3 linked regions of the Canis lupus familiaris genome follow. The protein of the gene in region 3 purifies or fractionates together with the protein of the main gene of each other region. This does not show direct contact. Links are inferred from orthologs where the notes say so. Each region holds a gene or a part of one and is shown on either strand. Other genes may lie near its edges.

Region 1 (3,516 bases), on a different chromosome or scaffold from region 3:
GATCAGGGGTAGCAGAGGCCCCTGGGGGGTCAAAGGCTCCCAGCATAGATGGGAAGGAAGATTTAGATCTGGCTGAGAAGATGGATATTGCTGTGTCTTACACAGGTGAAGAGCTTGACTTTGAGACTGTTGGCGACATCATTGCCATTATTGAGGACAAGGTAACTATTCAGCAAAGCCCAAAAGAATTTCTCGTGAGTTCTGCATAGGCTTCTCTTCTCAGCTTCTTCTTGCTTCTTGTAGTAAGAATTACATAAACAGACAGTTCTGCTTCTGCCCATTTCCATCTCCTTAATCCCAAAGCCCTTTGTTGCTCACATTGGTCATCTCCCCAGCCATCCTTGTGTTTCGGTTTGCACAGGATAGGTACCTGTCCTTTGGTTGCTTCTACTACATGTAGAGGGAAGATGCAGATTGAGGCTATCTCATTTGGTGCTTATAGAATTGAGGGATTTGGGCTGCTTTTTGGGGGGACTTCAACGGTATATATTATGGTACAGGTAGATGATCATCCTGAAGTGCTGGATGTGGCAGCAGTAGAAGCGGCACTGTCATTCTGTGAAGAGAATGATGATCCCCAGTCCCTGCCTGGCCCCTGGGAGCACCCGATCCAGCAGGAGCGGGATAAGCCAGTATCTCTTCCTGCACCAGAGATGACAGTCAAGCAAGAAAGGCTGGACTTTGAGGAAACAGAAAACAAAGGAATCCATGAACTGGTAGACATCAGAGAGCCTAGTGTTGAGATTAAAATGGAACCTGCGGAACCAGAACAAGGCATCTCAGGTCCTGAAATAGTAGCTGGAGTTGTTCCAGCCCCAAGTATGGAGCCACCAGAACTCAGGAGTCAAGAGTTAGATGAGGAACCCAGAAGTATTGCCACTGGAGAGATTGCTGAAGCAGATGTTTCCAGTGGGAAAGGCGATGAGACTCCACTTACAACTGTGAAGACAGAGGTATTTAAAATCAGGGGCTGGGAGGATGAAGGGTTATACCTTAGGTAAGAGCTGACTTTTCAGGCCTTTGGTTTTCTTCTTGCATTCCTGAATTCTCACATGGTTGATACGCCCAAAGCCACAGATAAGATGATTGCTACATGTGCTTATCCTGTTCCTTTTACGGTGACCATTAGATTCCTGTTAGTCCTGTTAGGACTTAGAATTTCTTTTGTAGTCTTTTCATTGGAAAACTTAGAATTTCTTTTGTAGTCTCGTCACTGTGTAAGCTGAAGTGATGTATCTGTACTTAGGGTAATTATTCTTTTTGGTCTTCAGGCATCCCCTGAAAGCATGTTGTCTCCATCACATGGCTCCAATCCCATCGAAGATCCTTTAGAGGCAGAGACTCAGCACAAGTTTGAAATGTCAGGTAAATGATATGGCCAGGAAATCTGTTCTCTGTAACTAACTTGACATCCTTTGCTTTGGCTTCTGAGGGATTGTGGGCTGTGGGAAAGTAGAGGAGGTAGTATAGGTCAGCATGGAAAGGAGAGCTGCAGGGGATGATTGTCCATAGGAAGGGGAAGGCTGAGGTGGAAAAATCTTCAGGTAGTCTTTCTCTCCTCTGCAGACTCATTGAAAGAAGAATCAGGGACTATTTTTGGAAGCCAGATAAAGGTATTTCAGACTTTTCTTTATTCCTCTTGCTGTGTGACTAGATCTCCCAATAGCACTACCTTTTTAAAGAATTATAGTAAACGTGCATCTGATTCTCTGAGATGAGACTAGTTAAGGAGTTGCATGGAAAAAAGTTGGCAGTGGACAGTTAGGCATACTGGCAGTACTATGGCCATGTGCTTCCCATCTGAAAGAATTTGTGAACATCACACAGAGCTTTCTTTCGCACATAATGCACAACAAAGCTTTGATACTTCCAGAGTGATTTAGAGTAAATAGGGCTGCCAGAATCAGGGAGAACATAGAAGAAATCAGATTATTAATTACACTATCCAAAGAAAATTCCCTGGAATATTCTTTTTAGAATTACTAAAGTAGTGGTAACAGATTTAAAGTATTGTGATATGAGCTTGCTCCATCAGAGGAGACACAAAATAAAAACTATTTTTGATAACTTTGTACCCAGGGTCAGAGTTCCTCTCAAGAGCAAGGGGAAAGAAGGAACGCCTCTTAGCTTAGTCTTAAGTAAGTAGCTTTTTTTTTCTTCCTTTCAAGAAAAAGATCCTGGTCTTATTCTTTGTCCAGGTTCTATATTACTTGATCAGTGAGTGTACGTGGTAGTGTAAGTGATAGAGGGCTCAGTCAGGAAGCAGTGTGAGGTCATTTTCTAGAACTGATCTAATCCAAAAGACCATGTTTAATGACGCTTTGCTGGATAGCTTTGCTTGCATTTGTTGACTGGAGTACACTGTGTCTAAGGATGCCCCAGGTGAGGATGAGGAGGAAGATGGAGTCAGCGAAGCTGCCAGCCTAGAGGAGGCTAAGGAAGAAGATCAAGGAGAAGGCTATTTGTCAGAAATGGATAATGAGCCACCTGTGAGCGAGAGCGATGATGGCTTTAGCATTCACAATGCTACACTGCAGTCCCATACACTGGCAGACTCCATCCCCAGCAGCCCTGCTTCTTCACAGTTGTGAGTATCTGAGATTCTTCTTTGAGTTCAAGACCGTGAAGGTGAGAAGTAGGAGAGGATCTTTTTCTTCAGTCTTATTTTTTTCATCTTCCCTTTCTTGGCCTGGAACTAATAGTTCACAAGAAATGATAAGGATTTTTTTTGGACTTAGGCTTAGTGGGACTCCCTTCTTTTATTTCAGCTCTGTCTGTAGTGAAGATCAGGAAGCCATTCAGGCACAGAAAATCTGGAAGAAAGCTATCATGCTTGTATGGAGAGCTGCAGCTAATCATAGGTGAGTGAGCTTTACCAGTCAGTATGTTTCTCATGCTTCTTCTCAATGTTAGGAGAAAGTCTGGCTGGGTTTATATGGGATCGGTGGCTTTGACTTTTACAGCCTTCAGCTACTTAAATCAAGTTCCCTTACCTGTGCTTCTGAAGGGTAAGTCAGTAATTAATTGCACCTTACTCTTTTTTGGACAGATATGCCAATGTCTTCCTGCAGCCTGTTACAGATGATATAGCACCTGGCTACCATAGCATTGTACAGAGGTAAGCCATGATCCATTCAGCATGCTGACTTGCCTGAATTGTAAGTTGTTCAGTCTTAGTGGATTTTTGCTTTACACAGAATGTTTAAAGCAAATGTTTTTGATCTGAGTAAAAGTGGTAAATTGATCATTTCAGTGGCTGGATCACAAAAGATAGACTTCTGTTACCATTCTTAGCCAATACCTACTGTAAAAGATGCCTTGTTTTTAATTAAGTGCATGTTGTGCGGTGAGGGGTTGGTACTTCAGTCCTGGCAGCTAAGACTAAGGGCATATTTAAGAAGTCATGTATGATAATAATATATTTGGATCCAGTTGAGTCCTCTTCCCCTCCATTTACCTGTTTTTGTTTTGTTTTTAGGCCTATGGATTTGTCAACTATTAAGAAAAACATTGAAA
Region 2 (3,516 bases), on a different chromosome or scaffold from region 3:
GATCTACTCTTTTTCCCATATCTCAATGGGTAGCTGTATCATCTGGCTTGCTGACCAAGCCACAACTTAGGGGACATTCTTGATTTCTTTGCTATCATTTTCTACATCTAATTAGTGACTTTCAAATGGGAACAAGACCCTTATCTTTTCCCCATGCCACAGCCCTAGTTTAGGACACTATCACTGCTCACCTGGATGGTGGTAGTAGCATCCTAAGTGGTCTTCCAGCCTCTAGGACCAACCTGTCTCCTCCCAACCTGCTCCTTCTTACACAGCAGCTAGGGAGATCTTTCTAAATTCCACGTGTGACCAGTCACTCCTCTGTTGCTAACTCTTCAAAAACCTTCCATTACCCTGTTGAAAGGTGTTAGTGTGATTAAAAAAAAAAAGTCTTTCATGATATCTCCTGCCTTATTGCTTGCTTGCTTCAATATCTACCTTTTCCAGGATTTCTGTGCTGAGGGGAGCCAAGGTGAGATTTGATGCAAAACTTAGTTTTGCAAAGTCTTATAAGCCATCTAGGTAGGTCCAAAGAATAGAGGAGAGCTGAACCTGGATAATGAGGAACAGATCACAAACGTGTAGCTACTGTGTGCAAGTTCTGAAGGAGATGTGGAGATGAGTTAAGACAAGGTTCTGCCCCAAGAGCCTTACAATCTGTAAAGGAGTAGACAAAGTATATTCCAAAGGAGCTATTCAAGAAAACAATTGTGTGTAGATATCTACCACATGCCAGGCTTTGAGGCATAAAGGAAAATGCAATTAAATGTCATAAGAAAGAAAGAGGACTATGGGGATGCAAGGGGGAGAGAGAACTTCCATTTGAGCTAGATTAGTGACATTTCTGTAGGACAGAAGAGCTGGAAGACTTGAAGGGTGGGTAGGGAATGGTTTAGAAGAGTAGGGGTCAGGGACTGGGAGAGCGTCCAGGCAGAGGGAACTGCAGGAGCGAAGGTGCAAACTGCAGGAGCAACATTCAACACAGAGCTAGAGGGTCCTATTCTCCCCTGGGCTTCAACCTCCAGCCCCCGAGGACGCTTTGGGGATCTGAAAGGTGGCATCACATCCCATCCATTTCTCTGTACTTGCATAATGAAACCCTGAAGAGGTTCTGAGGTGTCATAGATGTTACGGTCAAGTATAGCCATTGCCCTTTTCACAGGTGGAAAGGGTGAGGTTAGGAGGAATTCAGTTAAAATTTGCAAACATTTAAAGTACCTTCTATGCACTAGGCAATCATTATGGGGAACACAGAAGTGCATAAAAGTGGTTTTCCTCCCTTACAGAAACATAGTTATTGGTTAGGGGAGTTCAGAAGTGTAAGGAATCTCTTTAAACATGAATGTGAGACAGTAAAGGAAGGCCTCTTGGAGGAGGTATGATTTGAGCAGAACCCTAACGTGGGGATAGGGTTGGCATAGTTAGGGAGACAGAGCAGGAATTTGCAGGTGTGGGCAAAGCACAAAGCATATTCAGGGGACAGGGAAGACTGCAAATGGGGCCTGGAAAGGAGCATTCAGGGAGGTGGGTCTGCATGGGAGAGGCTGGAGGAGTAGGGGGTGGCCAGACACTGGCCCTAAATAATTCATTCTCTCTCTCCTCCTCTCCACCTACTCTGTATTCCACCAGGACCAGCTACTCTTCTGTGATGACTGTGACCGTGGCTATCACATGTACTGTTTAAATCCTCCAGTGGCTGAGCCCCCAGAAGGTAATGATGATGATGTCGACTGTAGAAACAACAGCTACCCCTATCACTTAGGGAGCCCTCACTCTCATTCAGGTCTCGTGCTAAGGCCTTTCCATGTCTTGTCTCATTCAATCATCACAACCCTATGCTACCATTTTACAGATGAGGAAATGGAGGCACAGTTCAACCCTCTGAAATTTCAGCTTGAGGACCAAGGAGATGTTTCTTGGTCATGCAGACAAAGCGGTGGGGAGGTGTCAGCTTCCAGGGGAACCAGCCCAGGCCTAGTGCTGCCAGTTATATCGCTGTCAAGGACAGTGGGGGTCTTTACAACAGTTCAGTGGATCGCCTCTGAACACTTAACTATTTTCTGAGGAGCGCTCACCCTCTGCCACGAGTTACAGACTCTGGCCCACTTTCAGGCCTGGGCCTCGGTCTCTGAACTGTGAAAGTCAAAGGAGAAACGGCACTTGCAGGAGTGAGGGCCAAGGGGTGGGGCGAAGGGCAGCTGGTAACTAGGGCATCTTGTTTCTTGTAGGAAGCTGGAGCTGCCACCTGTGCTGGGAACTGCTCAAAGAAAAAGCCTCAGCCTTCGGCTGCCAAGCCTAGGGCCCCGGGTCGCAGACTGTGACCTGCTGCTGGAGAGGCTGAGGCAGAGCCCACTTCACACCGGATCAAGTCCCCACTCCCATCTATCCAGACAGACCGACTGTAAGGAACACCCGTGGTCATGGAGGGCATGGACATGTGGAACCGAGAGGGTGAGGTGTCTGCTTACCCCCTACACGCAGGTTCCAGTACTTCTGTCAGCCCCTCCTTGCTTCCACCAGAAGGATCTTTCACGTTTGAAGAACACCCCTGGCCCCGGCCCTGTGGAACCCCCTCACATTTACCCCGGCCCTGGTTCCCATTTTAAGGGAAGCTGTTTTGTGACCACCGATCAGTCACTCACGTGTCGTTTGGTGTTTTCTATCTATTGTGTTCCAAGAAATCTTCACGCAGCCTCCCGCCTCCTGCTTCAGCTCTTTATCCTGAACTCAGCAGAGGGACAAAAGGCTGTGGAGAAGTTGTTATTTATTACCAGCCTCCCTGGAAACTTCTAGACTCGGAGTCGGGAGGCCATCTTGACGATGAAAATCCCTCTTTGTTCCTTGGTCTCTGTGAAGAAGAAAAGCGGTTTTCTGGACCCCTTGCAGATACACCTAGTGGTGTCTGCAGCCAGGGGGGTCCCCTGATGGGGCTGGCGAGGGAAGTAGAAGTGCTGAGGGGTGGGCAGAGACATTGGGAAGAAAATTCAGAGGCCCTGCCACAGCCGATCAGTAGTTGTTACCCATCGGGAGTGGCTTTGCAAGGGGTCAGGCTTTTGGGGTTCCTTGACCTTCGGAGCTGGGACATCCTTGAGGTGAGACAAGCCACAGCCTATGGCGGGGGAGGATGCTGAGGCTCTGCCTCCCAACCAGCCCGGGTCTGGAGCTTTCCCTGGTGGGACTCAAGAGCCGGGAAGGCGGGTGAAGGCTGCGCAGTCCGGAATCTGCATGTCGGCACAAAGGACTGCAGCTCTGCAAAGCCCTTCAGTACTGTTTTGGCACCACAAATTCCTTTTCCCAAGTAATTTCTCCTTCTACATGGTGTGTGTTTGCCACTGTCTACTGACACCGGACTCTGGAGATTTTAGGACGGGGAAGAGAGGATTGTCACCTAAACAAATAACGGGGTGATGGGGTGATTTATGATCACGGTGGCAACGGTACAGAATCCTCAGCTTGAGGGCTGCTCTTGCCCCCCCCACCCCCCAAACTCCCCAATTATGTGCCGGAGTCTTGTTT
Region 3 (4,165 bases):
GCGATCCTGGAGACCCGGGATCGAGTCCCACGTCGGGCTCTCGGTGCATGGAGCCTGCTTCTCCCTCTGCCTGTGTCTCTGCCTCTCTCTCTGTGACTATCATAAATAAATAAAAATTAAAAAAAATAAATAAATAAAGTGGTCCTTAAATTTAGTTGGGGGAAAGTGTATAGTACATCACCTTTTAGTCATTAATAAGCACTTTAAAAATTTCAGGATCCTACCGGTTTATCTGATTTACTGTCCCCCGACCCCAAAGTTGAGCATACTATTTTTTTTAACATAAAAGGTGGCTGAAAATACTTTTTTCCGGGGTGTGAAAAAAGTTCTGCAGTCTCCAGAGTCCGAAACTCGGCTCGCTGCGCGGACACGCCGTTTCTAGGCTGTTTCCCGGGGGCTTGCGTTCGCCGCCGGCGCCTCACGGGCTCCCGCGCGCCCCGCCTGCCTCCGCGAGCCCCCCCCGCCCGCCGCGCCGGCCGCCGCGCCTCCCGCCCACTCGGGGAGCTCCGCCCAGCCCCCCTCCCTCCCGCGCCCGGGGCCAGTTCCGCAACCCAACTCCTTCCCTCCTTCCGTCGCTCTCCCCTTTCCCCGCCTCCATGGCTGCCTCCGATTGGCTGAGCTGGCCGTGCCGCGGCGGGGATGCAGCGCAGCCTCCTTCTGATTGGCTAAGGCGTCCCCGGCCCTCCCGTGATTGGCTGGTAGGAGCAGACAGCAAGTGTGGCTGAGCTCCGCGGTGTGTGGACGCTGCTTTGTTGCCCGAGGGGGGTGGCGGTGGAAGTTCGGGGCTAGGGGCTGGTGCTTCTCGGGACCCGCGCTCGCGGCCGTCGCAGTCGCTTCGCCCGGTAGCCTGTAGCGTAGGAGTCGCGCGGACAGCAGCCATGAGCGGCGGGGTGTACGGGGGAGGTGAGTGAGTGCGGCCGGACGGGAGAGCGCGCCTTTTCAGCGTGCGGGGTCTGTGACCGCCGCCCCCAAGCCTCCCCTCCCCGGCGGCCCCTTCCGGCCTCCCCCGCTGGGACCCCGGCCTCCCCGCCCCGTCCCCGCCCCGCGCTCTGCCCGCCCCCGCCGCCCGCAGCCCGCAGCCCGCAGCCCGCCCGGCGCCGCGACCGCTCCCGCGGTCCCTCCCGCGGTCCCTCCCGCGGTCCCTCCCAGCCCCGGCGCCCGGGGGAGCGCGGCTTTCGGGGTGCACGGCGGCCGCGGGCTGGGCGGGCGTTCCGTCCTGGGGGCCGGCCCGCAGAGCCCCGGCGGGAGCGGCCGGCTGCGGGCTCGCGTCCTGCGGGGAGTCTCGGGAACCCGGCTCCGTCGGGGCGCGCGCCGGTTTAAACTCGGGAGGTCCCGGCAGTTGGCAGGCGCGGACCGAGGGTTTCCGCAGCGTCCCCGAGGGCCAGGCGAGCGGCGGGGGGTGCGGGCCTCGGGACGCCCAGCTGCCTCACAGCTGCCTGTCGGCTGACTGGGCTCTCAGGGTGACTCGTGGGGACACCTGTGGCTTAAAGACCTCGTCCCTGGCGGGGGCTGTGGTGGGCTGGAAGGGTCCGCACGGGCCTGGGAGTTCCACAGACCTGGCTGCCTGTACTTCCAGCCTATTTAGTGAGCGCGTTGGCCTTGGCTAAGTAAGTTCACTTAGCTTTTCCCAACTTCGGGGCCCCGCATTTTGGGAACGACAATCCCCACCCAGTGGGGGTGGGCTTGAAGGTTCGGTGAGCTGAGCTAACGGTGCACTTGCTGCAGAAAGTGTGGTCCCTGGATGAGCAGCGTCAGCATCACCTGCGAGCTTTTTAGAAATGCAGAACCTCGAGCCCCCTCTACGCATACTGAATCGAGCTTTCATTCTTGCTACATAGGTAGGAGGCACTGGTGTATCTGATTCTGGTCTGTGCTGTGTTTGATGAGTTTGGAAAAAGAGGAGACAGATCTAAAGTGTTGCTTTTGTTATCGTGTCTAGTAAGGTTAGTGTTTCTGAAGAAGTTGGCATTTTACAGGTAAGGGATAGAAATGAGGTTCTCAAAGTTCTTGATTTTTGGAATGTAGCAGGAGTTTCTTTGGGGCAATATGCTGACCCCTCCTCCCATTCTTCTCTGTATATATTCTGGGTTTTGATTTCTCAAATGTGAGAGGCAGTAGTTGTCCCATTTTTACTTTGGAGAAAGCCTAGTGAATCTTCATGATTTACCTCCTTTCCATCTGAAGATGCAATCTTGACCCAAAAAGTGGATCTTTGTGTCTCATGGAGGCTGACTCTATTTTGACCTTTAGGTTCACTGATCCAAGTACCTAGACGCTGTCCATGATTATTTCCTTAGAAGGCATTGTTGACTATGACTGAGATAGAGGTGGATACTTATAATGCCAGCAGCAAACATTTATTGAATGCATACTTTGTACTAAGAACTGTTCCAGAGACTTTTCATGTGTTGCACTAATATGTGTATTAACTCAATCTGCAGCAGCCATAGGAAATGGTACTGCTAACTCCATATTATGGAATAAGAAAATAAGGTATGGAAAAGTTTAAGCAACTGGCCCAGAGTTACATAACTTCCTAATAAGGGTGAACAAGAATCTCTGGGATGAAGAAAAAGGCATTTCAATAAAACCCTTTCCCATCTTAAAACTAAAAAGTTTTTTGGTTGTTTCTCCATAAGTCATTTTTCAATTATATAGCGACAGCGTATTCATGTATGGTTTAGGTATTCACAATAAACATCCTGTGTCTCATTTGCTTATGGAGAGGAATATGTCTTAAAGCCTATTTCACATATAAGGTATTTAAAGCTCACAAAAATAAGTGTATGATTTTGTGTTTGAGTTACCCCTGTATGGCCAGTATTTATAGTGGGTCACATTTTCCAAAGGGTGTATGGTGAAAAGAAACCAAACCTCCCACCTAGGTTTTGTGTAATTAATTAGTAAGTTTTATTTTTAACTTGCTTGCTTATTTAAAAGACCTTTGCAGTTTAAATTTTAAAGTTTATGGCTATCTTATTCTAATAAAGATTTCTGACTAGATCTGACACTGATCTTTAGCTTTGAGTATAATGCATAATTCATTATAGAAAGATTTCTGTACTTTCTACCTGGTTTCCAGGCCTACTCATTGCTCCTAGGACCATGTTTCCATGGTTCTCCTTTATTTCAACCTTACATTATAAAAATAAATAGACCAACTTTGATAAATTGTGTTTCATCGTTCCTGCACCTGTTACCCCCAAATCTCTAACCTTAAAAATTTCTCAGAACCATCATCCCCATAAGCACCTTTGTCCAAACAAAAAAATAAAACGACCTTCCCACTTTCTCCCAAAGTCATTTGCCTTCAGTATCACATTGGAATGTTTTAAGACCTGGTTAGAAAATTGCCACCATTGCTTCATGTTTTCCCAGAGAAATTACCACACCTCTAAACTTGGAAGCCATAGGAAAAACATCAACATCCTCAGAAAAGTGAAAACAGTGTTTTAAGTAGCAAAGGGATCCAACTCTTAAGAATTTTTATCTATTGGAAACTGTATCCCGGTTTTTATATATCTGGACCTCTGCGGTTATGGTTTAAGCTTTCTATCTCCCTTTGCCATTCTCCTATTTTGGGTTCATTGGTACTTAATTTTTAACAAAACCAGGTACAGGAAATAAACCCATTTCTCATCCTTTGAAAAAGGAAAATAAGCAGATGCAAAATTCCAAGAATCAAGAGTCTCACTCAGATTAAAATTCTATGTCTAGTTTGAAAAAAAAAAAAAGAGAGAGAGAGAGAGAGAAAATAGTTTGCCATCTAATTAGGACAGAAACATAATTGATTTGTTGAATTTTTCATTTCATAAAATGTTTTTTAATGCTCGCTATGTGCCAGGCAGGTATAGCCTCTGCCTCCGAGAAGCTCAGTTTTACAGGTAGGTGAGTCAGTCACATAGACACTATATTGTATTTAGTTTTAGTCATACATTTCCCCTCCATATTTAAAGAGCTGAAGTTGGAATATTTCTCCTTTTTCTGGGGAGGTTTTTCTATTTTACATAATTAAAATAATTTAATTCCAATCTAATTGACATGGAATATTTCTTTTTTTTTTTTTTAATTTTTATTATTTATGATAGTCACACACAGAGAGAGAGAGAGAGAGAGAGGCGCAGAGACATAGGCAGAGGGAGAAGCAGGCTCCATGCACCAGGAG

What was found. Proteins that work in one complex are often made in the same cells at the same time.
Region 1: the proteins of ACTL6A (region 3) and BRD8 fractionate together in Homo sapiens (co-fractionation; 4 studies listed by BioGRID and IntAct, with this or other methods). This does not show direct contact. The link is inferred for Canis lupus familiaris from reciprocal best matches to the Homo sapiens genes ACTL6A and BRD8.
Region 2: the proteins of ACTL6A (region 3) and DPF3 purify together in Homo sapiens (affinity purification with mass spectrometry; 4 studies listed by BioGRID and IntAct, counting the BioPlex papers as one, with this or other methods). This does not show direct contact. The link is inferred for Canis lupus familiaris from reciprocal best matches to the Homo sapiens genes ACTL6A and DPF3.

What each region holds. Positions count from the first base shown.
Region 1 is NC_049232.1:25,855,986-25,859,501, reverse strand, and holds part of BRD8 (bromodomain-containing protein 8), read left to right. Parts: coding exon 1-161; intron 162-500; coding exon 501-953; intron 954-1,271; coding exon 1,272-1,365; intron 1,366-1,566; coding exon 1,567-1,613; intron 1,614-2,372; coding exon 2,373-2,587; intron 2,588-2,768; coding exon 2,769-2,861; intron 2,862-3,049; coding exon 3,050-3,118; intron 3,119-3,478; coding exon 3,479-3,516. UniProt on the Homo sapiens protein: May act as a coactivator during transcriptional activation by hormone-activated nuclear receptors (NR). Isoform 2 stimulates transcriptional activation by AR/DHTR, ESR1/NR3A1, RXRA/NR2B1 and THRB/ERBA2.
Region 2 is NC_049229.1:46,326,607-46,330,122, reverse strand, and holds part of DPF3 (zinc finger protein DPF3), read left to right. Parts: intron 1-1,629; coding exon 1,630-1,711; intron 1,712-2,228; coding exon 2,229-2,299; 3' UTR 2,300-3,516. UniProt on the Homo sapiens protein: Belongs to the neuron-specific chromatin remodeling complex (nBAF complex).
Region 3 is NC_049255.1:13,131,553-13,135,717, forward strand, and holds the start of ACTL6A (actin-like protein 6A), read left to right. Parts: upstream 1-1,355; 5' UTR 1,356-1,607; intron 1,608-1,725; 5' UTR 1,726-1,741; coding exon 1,742-1,838; exon of another isoform or gene 1,839-1,976; intron 1,977-4,165.